2 linked regions of the Drosophila melanogaster genome follow. The gene in region 1 interacts genetically with each later gene. Each region holds a gene or a part of one and is shown on either strand. Other genes may lie near its edges.

The links.
Region 2: of arr (region 1) and nwk, changing one suppresses a phenotype caused by changing the other (phenotypic suppression), as found in Drosophila melanogaster (one study listed by BioGRID).

What each region holds. Positions count from the first base shown.
Region 1 is NT_033778.4:13,479,919-13,484,846, reverse strand, and holds the start of arr (arrow), read left to right. Parts: upstream 1-1,617; 5' UTR 1,618-1,692; intron 1,693-2,762; 5' UTR 2,763-2,878; coding exon 2,879-3,071; intron 3,072-4,928. Other genes in the region: cbc (crowded by cid), read left to right, coding at 1-276, 367-874, 943-1,060.
Region 2 is NT_037436.4:9,136,055-9,140,961, forward strand, and holds the start of nwk (nervous wreck), read left to right. Parts: upstream 1-1,805; 5' UTR 1,806-1,835; exon of another isoform or gene 1,836-1,910; intron 1,911-2,527; 5' UTR 2,528-2,622; coding exon 2,623-2,643; intron 2,644-2,718; coding exon 2,719-2,948; intron 2,949-3,038; coding exon 3,039-3,566; intron 3,567-3,851; coding exon 3,852-4,734; intron 4,735-4,796; coding exon 4,797-4,907. Other genes in the region: Use1 (unconventional SNARE in the ER 1), read right to left, coding at 247-603, 698-1,049. UniProt on the Drosophila melanogaster protein: Adapter protein that provides a link between vesicular membrane traffic and the actin assembly machinery. Acts together with Cdc42 to stimulate actin nucleation mediated by WASp and the ARP2/3 complex.

The sequences.
Region 1 (4,928 bases):
CTCTGTGCCGCATCCTGCTTAACTATGCTGTGCGCGTGGGTCGTCGACCGCTGTACGCCGACCTGGATGTTGGACAGGGCTCGATTGCCATTTCCGGGAGTGTGGCCACCATTCTCATCGAGCGACCGGCGAACGTTGAGGAGGGATTCGCCAAGACAGCGCCGCTGGTCTATCACTTTGGCCATAAGTCTCCCAGCGGAAACAGCGTGCTGTACAATGCCGTGGTTTCCAAAATGGCAGAGGTAACACTGCAATCTCTGAATAGCAACAAGCGAAGTAAGTTGGGAAGGTGTAACACATATCTTTGCACTTTTCAATACATTTTCCCGTTCATAAACTGCAAATTTCTGCATCTGCTTTTTGCAGCAAAAAGCTCTGGCATTATTATAAACACTTGTGGCTGGGTAAAGGGATCCGGCTACGCGCACCTGTTGCACGCGGCCAAAGCCTATGGAGCCTGTGCCATCTTTGTTCTGGACCAGGAGCGACTATACAACGAGCTGCTTCGAGATGTTCCCAAGGGAGTTCATGTGGTACTGCTGCCCAAGAGCGGCGGCGTCGTCGAGCGCAGCAAGGAACTGCGACACGAGGCGAGGGATCAGCGCATCAAGGAGTACTTCTACGGCAATACAAGGGCGCCCTTCTATCCGTTCAGCTTCGAGGTGAAGTTCCAGGACCTGCGACTCTACAAGATCGGCGCACCGCCGCTGCCCGACTCCTGCATGCCAATTGGAATGAAGGCGGAGGACAACAAGACCAAGGTGGTGGCGGTTACACCCACGCCCGCCCTAATCCATCATGTGCTGGCCCTCAGCTTTGCCGAGTCCGTGGAGGACGATGTGATTGGCACCAATGTGGCCGGCTTTTGTTGCGTGTAAGTGCTGCTGAACCTAAACTAGATATTATACTAGTTATATATGATTGTTATTTGATTATCCTCAGAACCGAAGTGGATATGGAAAGACAGGCAGTGATGTTGCTTTCGCCGCAGCCGCGACCTTTGCCCCCGAACGCCCTGCTCCTGTGGTCGGAACTGCAGTTCATGGATAATCATACCTAGCATTTGTAAATGCTCTGCTCTAGATGTAATTTAAGAAATTTTATATTAATGTTGGCGTTACAAAAAATACAGTTTAGATGTGCAAGTAGTAAACTTAAAGTTTTCCACAAGTTTAACAACTGAAATAACATTTAATAACATTTTGCAAAAATTAATTAAGTTTTGCTATAAAAGAATAGAACATATATCAAACAAATATTGTAATTTCTGAAAATTGAAAACTATTATAATTAATTATAACTATACAAGAATATAATATTCAGTATATGTATTGTATGTGTATGTATGTATTATTATGTGTTTCTTATAACCACTGAAAAAGGGTTTTGTAAAAATTGCATTTGAATATATTTGCAATGTGCATTTTTCGCCATTTGGTAAAATTATGTAATTCTATTCGAAAATAATTCAAACAAAATGGTGTTCTAAATTTTTTTAGCAAGGTGTGCAACCAAACGTCTACTCTACTTCCAGTATATTTTTGGTATATTTAGAACACTCAATTGGTAATATTTAGGCAAATTAGGTGCAGCCATACTGACGGCTGCGTACGTCGCCTCAGTGCGGTCACACTGTTCGAAAGAGCGAGACGAAAAACACGGCAACACGGCGGACGGAAAACTCAGTGAAAAGTAAATCAAATATTTACAAAACAAAGTAACCACAAAATGGCTGCGCTCGGTCGAATTGCGTTGGTTTAACAACAAATAGCGATGAAACGGCGACGATTAATACACTTTCAACGGGCATAAACCATAGATACTGTGGAATTTGTCGTGCTTTTCGTGTTTGTTGTGCAGCATGCGAGATGTTGCTGATGTTGTTGTTGGAATGTGTATCAAATGGTTCTAAAAACAAAACAAGAGATTTTCGGGCATCTAAATTTACGGCCTGCTTGAAAGACGTTCTGTTTTCCCCCAGTGTGTGTGTGCGTCTGTGCATGTGTGCGCGTGTGTTTGTGTGTTTTCTTCTCACTTGCTCTCTGTTGCTGCTGCATTTTCCAGCGGCAAACGGCGTTTGTTTTGGTTGCGTCGTGAAATTTTCCACTGGAAAGTGCAGCGCTGCGCCTTTCTGGGGGTTGCACACACACGCGCACGCACCGCAATTCGTCGATTGCCGGCTTGTTGCGCCGTAGAAGCGGCGGCAAAAGAGGTTCCCTAATTACCCAGAGTCACCTTATCACTTACAGTATTTCAATTTGGCGACCAGTTGATCGGAGGGGGTGATGGCGGTGTGGTGGCCCTCACACAGTTGCACAATTGCTTATCACTCGCTACTTAACGACAACAACAATTGGTGGCTCGCACACATGCAAACAAGACGATCACACTCGTCAACAAAGAAGCGGGAAACTCAATTGAAAGACTGAAATAACAACAACATAAGCAACAGCTAGCTTACACTACGCAACAAAAGTGCGAGCACGAGGAACTAAAAGTTATTAACTCACTAGTGATCAAAACTGAAATAAATTTGAATTGTATTGTAGTCATAACAGTTGAACCAATATTAATCTATTAAAAAAGATACGTAGAAAGTAAAACAAAAATCCTAAAACCTATTTACTAACAGGCATAACTCTGCAAATACTGTTGTAACTACAAACGAGAGTTCAAAACAAGGGTGTTATTTGATACCCTAGGGAGTGAAAGATTTTCGAGAGCGACCTGTTTTCAAACCTCCCTCTCCCTTCCACTTGCAGTTTTTCCGTGTGATTACCATGTGCGCCTAACAAAAGACAAACACGATCGGGTCGCGTCATCTGTTGTTTTTGCGCCAAATGTCTTAAAATTCCGGAGATAGTGCTTCCAAAATAAGATGGCTCTCGAGCCATACACAAAGTCTGCTGAAATCGAACCTCAATTGTGCCAAGTTATAGATAATAATGAAGATGTGACAACGAAAGCGACGAAATGCACGAAATCTAACAGCGGAGTGGGCTGGCGACAAATGCTGATCGGCTTTCTACTGATTTGCTTTGGCATCTCAAACAGTTGGCAGTACAAAAATGGTAAGTTCTGTGCTTTCATTTCGAACAAAGGGCAACGGTTTTGCCAAAGGAGCTGGGAACTGACAAGCATTTGATGGCAGTTCGATTAATTTGACGAGTGGCGAGGGCTTTGAGTTCAAAAAACCGCAGGGATAGACAGTTTGTAATGGGAATGGGGGTTCGCTGATATCGTTCCTCTACTTTCCTCAAAGGCTTTTGTACTACAGGTATCGCTCGCTAATGTGAACCAACGTAGTTGCGTGATTCCCAAGTGATTGAATTATAAATTGAGAGTGTTTAGTCTCAAATCAATATTTGATATTTATATTTATTGGTCAATATTCATTTTAAATAGTTAATTTAGCAAAATTTCAATATGTACATCAAAAATTACTATTCAGATAGAATATTTACTTAATAGTATAGTTCCTTATTTCAATGATTCACTGAATTTAAAAGCTTAAAATCCCATAGATAAAATATGAGTAACTGAACTGCATTTCAGGCATGTTGCCTGTTCGAGTGCCCACTGTATGCGTTTGTTTATGTGGTTTCAACTGCACTTTTGAGCTTCCCGCTCCCCGCCCCTCGCCCAGCCTTTTAGCCCCTTCCTTTGCCGCTTTGCGTTTTCCTTTAAGCTCTTTTTCGTGTTGTCAAAGCCCAAAGGCTGACAATTTCTCGGCGCAATGCTTTTATGAATAAACAACTACTACTTATTTAGACTGTAGTACGCACTCAACTTGATTGCACTGCGCATAATTTAGTACCCCCTTCTTCATCTACTTCTACTCCTACGACTACTACAACTCTGCGGCCCCACCAAACACTTTTCCACTAGATGCGACGCTAATGAGCTGAAAAAAGCAGCTCACTAATAATTCAGCAGTTGTAATATGGCAAAGTTGCCCGGTAATTGCCGGCATATTTCAAAATGCACAAAGCATTGACCCAGGCTCAAAAATTATACACTCAGAAAAATGTTCAGTTCTCATCAATTAAATCTTGTATAACTTGTACATTATTTAAAATCTAATGGTAAATCGATAGATCCACTCTATATGAACTGTTCTGTTGGGAATCATATGTAAAGTTAAGATATGAAGTCTGTAAGAGGAACTTACAAATTTCGTGGGCTGAAACAGTTCTTCTATAGATTAATATTGCATGACTCCTTGAAAGTTTTTCTCAGTGCAGCTTCAAAAAAGGGGCTCAAAGGACTGAAGTAGAAGGGACCTGCACGGGACAAGTCAATATGGAAATAGCAAATGGACAAAGGCCGTCCAAACATCGTTAAGCCCCAAAAACGCTCGAGTGTTTGGCTGAAAGATAAGCCTTCGGATTCTTCGTTTTTTTATTTTTTTTTTCCGGCTCTCTCCTTCAGTTGCAATCCGAAGTTTTTTCGGAGTCCGGAATTGCGAGTACTCCAGCATGCATGGGGGCATCCACAAAGCAAGTGCCGCCGCACCGAAAAGGAAGCCCGAAAACTTAAATTTGTCGAGCCGGGTGGGAGGAAAAAAAGCGCATCAAATATGTACACAAAGCTCCGGAAAAAAAACCCCATCTTCCATCATTCCCGGCCAGCTCTCTGTCGTGTGTGGGTGGTGTGTGGGCGGCTGGTTGGATGCTTACTTTCTTTAACACTTTGACGCGCGCACAAAGTGTTTTTTGCCAGCGTTGATTTGCCGCCCATGCCACCCATGCCATCCATGCCACCCATGCCACCACTTCCACACTACCCACCGGCCACCCAGTTCTTCTTTAAACCTTGTTCTTTTTTGCAGCTAACTGACGTTTTTGCGCGCTGCTGTCATGCCGTGTGGGGGATTCCCCCTTTTTTTTGGTCCCTTTACGTAAGCGCTATTTGCTTTAGCTTCTATT
Region 2 (4,907 bases), on another chromosome or scaffold:
TTCAGTTTAAATACAATAATAATAGCAATGGAATCTAATATCTATTTATCTGTTTTCGTTCTTATAATGAATATTTATAATATTGTGATTAACATATTCAGGAAACTTGGTTTATAAACGTGTTTAAATGTGTGTTGTTGAGTTGGATAACTTAAGGTATATTTGTTAAGTAAATGAATTGGGATTTTCCAAGAGGGGTTCTTTTTTGCAGCTTGAACAAAACTTCCACAAAATACAATGACTCACCTATAAAAGTGGCAATTACGAAGGCAATCATCAGCCACAGCCAGCACTTGTAGGCTTTTTTCGAATGTTGCTCCAGTTTCTCAGCCTCTTTTCCTAGCGAATTGATATTGCGATCCGCCATTCCGGCGGAACGCGACACAACCTCCGTGTCTCTTCGGATAATCCTGTTGGCGGTCTCCGTCTGTTCCTTTAAGTTCCGAGTCAGCGAGAGCATGTGCTCGGTGATCTTCTCCTGGGCATTCGTATAATACTTGGCAGCCTGGTTCATGTTTTCACCAGAAGTTTCCTGAACGTTTGCGCTTCCAGAACTGGAGGAGGATTCATCTGCTCCTCGACGTCTTCGCAGGGCATCGGAATCTAAAATAAATGTTTTTTAAGTTATGAACTATTACATTTTTGAATTTAAGAAATTTTAAAATATGTACAAAACTGTTTGTTAATTCTTTATTACCCTGGAGCAGTTCCTTTCGCAGTTCGTTGTGATATTTGCTGTTTTGCAGCTGCCTTATTTCTTTCAGTGCATTTTCCCCAGTTTCGCTGACGGCTGAGGATTGTGAAGGAGTCTTTGTTGTGGAACCGGGAACGTCTGCATATCCGGTGGATATTTTAAGGGCCTGTAGGCGCTCCAAGTAGCCCGGGATACGTTTGACACTCTGCGGATCGCCCATCGCCTCCAGCTCGGCAAGCATTGTGTCCAGGGACTTAATGAACTTCTGCAGCCTCCAGAAGTTCTGTTCGCTTTTGGCCAGTTCCTCGCAGTTGGCCAGCAGGGTGCGAATATTTACATTTAGCTTCGTGGCCATTTTCAAGTTGAAAACATGAAAACAACAAAGTACAAATTCCTAAATTAAAATACCAGGTCGAAACCTATTTGTTGTCAGCAGCTGGTCCTATTAGCGATAGAAACTTATCGATAGGTTGTCGTGAGTAGTGATGAAAAATTATTGAGGATGTGTATGTAAAATGTAAGAATGTAAAAATGTATAAAGTAAAAAAAACATAACAAACAAATAATCTTCTAATCCTGTTAAAATTTAATTTTTAAAAATTTTTGAAAAAAAACATCAAGTTCCCAATATGCCATATTTATAAGCTTATGTCTACTTTCTCAAGATAACGTAATGCATTTATATTATTGCATGCATACTTCTGGGCGCGACTCGAAAATCTTATCAAACCTCTTGGCCAATATCTGAAGTTATCAATTAAACCGTTTTTGATAGCCACAGCATATGAGTAGTTTCACGCAAACGCACATTTTTGTTTTAGCTGTTGTCGTACGCCAGGTGTCAAGATCAAATGGCATACCATTCAAAGGTTGAATTTTTATAGTAGTTTTTTTTTCTTCATTTTCCTTAAGTGCCGTTACACGCAAGTGAGGTGTTATCAAACAGCTGACGGGGCAAAAACAATAAAACTCACCCTCTTTGTTAACGGTACTAGAGGCCATGAATGAAACACGACTTCGTTCTCTCTCGACTTTCTCTCACCGCTCTCTTTGGCGGTCTCTTCTTGCGCAGCAGCACCAGCAGTTAACGGTGCATGTTGAAAAGTTCTCACACAAACGTCGTGAAAATCGAAATCGATAAGTAAGCAACGGATTTTAGCTGCCCAGAAAAAGACCACAAATTTCAGTGAAAACCCAGCGATAAGAATCCCAAAAAGTACTAATCCAGCTGAAAAACAACCATCTTAACCGGCCATGTCCAAAAAAAGTGTTAGCCAAGTGTTTTGAATAACGTAGTTGGTGTAAATGCTTAAAAAAAATAAGCTAGTCCGGGGCCAGAGAAATCGATACGATACCCCCAAAAAAAGGGGGGCTGCTGCGTGGGCTGCCCGAGTGAAAATTTCCAGCTAAAAATAGTACTAGATTTGAGCTTGAAGAAAACCCTTGATTTCCTTTGCGTTTCGATGTCAGTTATCATTGCATTTCAGTTACATAAGTTTTGAGACCCGTTGCTGCGTAGCGAACCTATTAACGGCTTAAGGACCACACAACCACCCACATGTACCACCAACACCACCCATTTACACAGCCAAAAATAATCGGAAAATATATATATATAATAAATATCAGTAGGGCTACATTTTATCTAATCTTTAATTTGATAATGTTAGATTCTTTGATATAAGTCATGGCGTTAAAAATAAATCTCCCCTTTTAAGCCACTGAAATATAAATTTTTTTATATTAAAAAAATAAGATGGGATCTTAAATATCGTATCGTATTTTAATACCCGTATATCATATCCTCTCATAAAGCAATCATACTATTTACAGTTGCTAGAGGTAATGTAACACCATTAAGTCGGAGCTAAAATAGAAAAAAAAAGCCAATTGTAGAGTGACCCGATTGTCGTAGAAAAAGCCCCATGATGCAGCCGCCGCCGCGTAAGGTAAATCATAAATAAATCGAATTGATAAAGATAGTTCCACAATAATCATTCATCGTATACCTCGTAATCCTGCAGGGAAACTATGTGAAATTCCTCAAGAATTTGCACACGGAGCAGGTGGCCAAGCTGCAGCTGAAGAATCAGCATGAATGCGACCTCCTGGAGGACATCCGGCAGTTCACCATCAAGCGTTCCGCTGTCGAGAAGTCATACAGTGAGTCGCTGCTGAAGATCTCATCGCAGTATCTCAACAAGAAGATACCCAATATACCAGATATTAAGATGGAGGGCATGGAGGAACGCTGGTGGGTATTGCTTTCCAGCTAACTAGTAACGTTCTTTCGAGAACCTTCAGTCAATTTGAATTACCCACCTACTTATACGTAATCTCATAGGAACATGTGGAGCGTTTGGCGCACTGTGCTCGAGGAGAATGAGAAACTGGCTCGTGCTCGATTGGCCGCCATAGAGGTGTTTCAACAGCAAATCGCGGATGAGGCCAAGGTTCTGCGGGACTATAAGTTGGCCATAGCTAAGCGTTCGCTAGCCGGAATTGTCAATGTGCAGAAGGAACTCCATCTGAGCGTGGGCGATGTGGATAAGACCAAGAAATCATACTTTGACGAAGAGCATTGTGCTCACGATGTTCGGGACAAGGCCCGCGATATCGAGGAGAAGCTTAAGAAGAAGAAGGGCTCCTTCTTTCAATCAATCACTTCGCTGCAGAAGAACAGCGCCCGGGTCACATCTCGCAAGGAGCTGCTGGAGGAGAAGTCATCTGGCGCCCGGAATGACTACGTACTCAGCTTGGCGGCGGCCAATGCGCATCAGAATCGCTACTTCACCGTCGATCTGCAGACAACGATGACCACCATGGAGAACTATGTTTTCGAGCGGGTTGCCGAGTACCTGATGTTAATGGGGTAAGTGTATAATGGCATTGCTCATAAATTATAAACCATCCAGAAGTGCAAAATCGGTAAATCAATTATAAATTTTACAAGTTCAAAGCCATTTTCTAATCAATGTTTGCTCAAGTCGTCAATTACATTCTGATAATTTTTATGGCGCTACCTGATATGGCTCATAAAGTTATTAAATCATTTTATTTAATCTTATGACTCAATATGTACATATGTACATAACAGTGCTGTCTTAAGAAATCTTTATCTTAATGTTGCCTAACCATTAAAACACATCTTTTCCAGACGCACAGAGCTGTTGACTTGCTCGGCTACGCAGAATAGCTTCGGAAAGATCCGTGACCAGGCGCAGCAGTTGACGCGGGAGTACAACCTGCAGTGCTGCTACCTATTCTATCCGGTGCTGAAGCAGCACATCCAATATGACTTCGAGGCGTGCGACAATGATCCGGTGCGCAAGGTGACCGCGGAGCATGAGTCCGCCGCCGAGACGCTAACCAAGGAGGCCAAGAATCTGGCCGGAAGAGTGGTCAAGGAGAATGCCTCGATCAGGGAGAATGCCAAGAAGTTGGCCTTGTGCCAGTCGCTGCGAGACTCTGGCCAGCGCACGGATCCCAACGATCCAAATGGACCGGATCTGGACACCAAGATCGAGGAGTTCCGTGATCAAATCCGTCGATCCGAGACGGAAAAGACAAAAGCGGAGGCATGTCTGCAGTGCCTGCGCGATGGCGGCATTAACGTGGACGAGTGGGTGCAGGAGGCCGAGAATATGGGTGTACAGGAGCTGACGCGTTCGGCCAGTTCCATTTCGATGCGCACCGACGCCTCTGGCCAGGGCGAGAATCCCAGTTCCGATTCATTCTACGACAGCGACAAGGAGGAGACTCAGGCAGCTGCCCAAACGAAGCCCAAGCAGGAGCAACAGCTATCCAGGGATCGTACCTTCAGCGATAGTGAGGATGAGCCCGAAGTGCGTCCATCGGCAGCGGCAGCTTCTTCTGCAGCTGCTGCCTCGTCATCCATGATGGCCAGTAGCGCTGGTGGCTGGGATGATCCCACTGAGGTCAACTGGGGAGCTGGCGAGGAGGAGGACGACAAGGACGAACCGATTGTTCCAGAACCCAAGGAGGCGATCTTCAAGTGCACTGCACTCTACAGCTATACGGTATGTGAGCTTTAAAGAACTATATACTTTTTCTTGCCACTAATTTTTCACTTTTTCCACAGGCCCAGAATCCCGACGAGCTCACCATCGTCGAAAATGAACAGCTCGAGGTGGTTGGCGAAGGCGACGGCGATGGGTGGCTAAGGGCCCGCAACTATCGCGGCGAGGAGGGC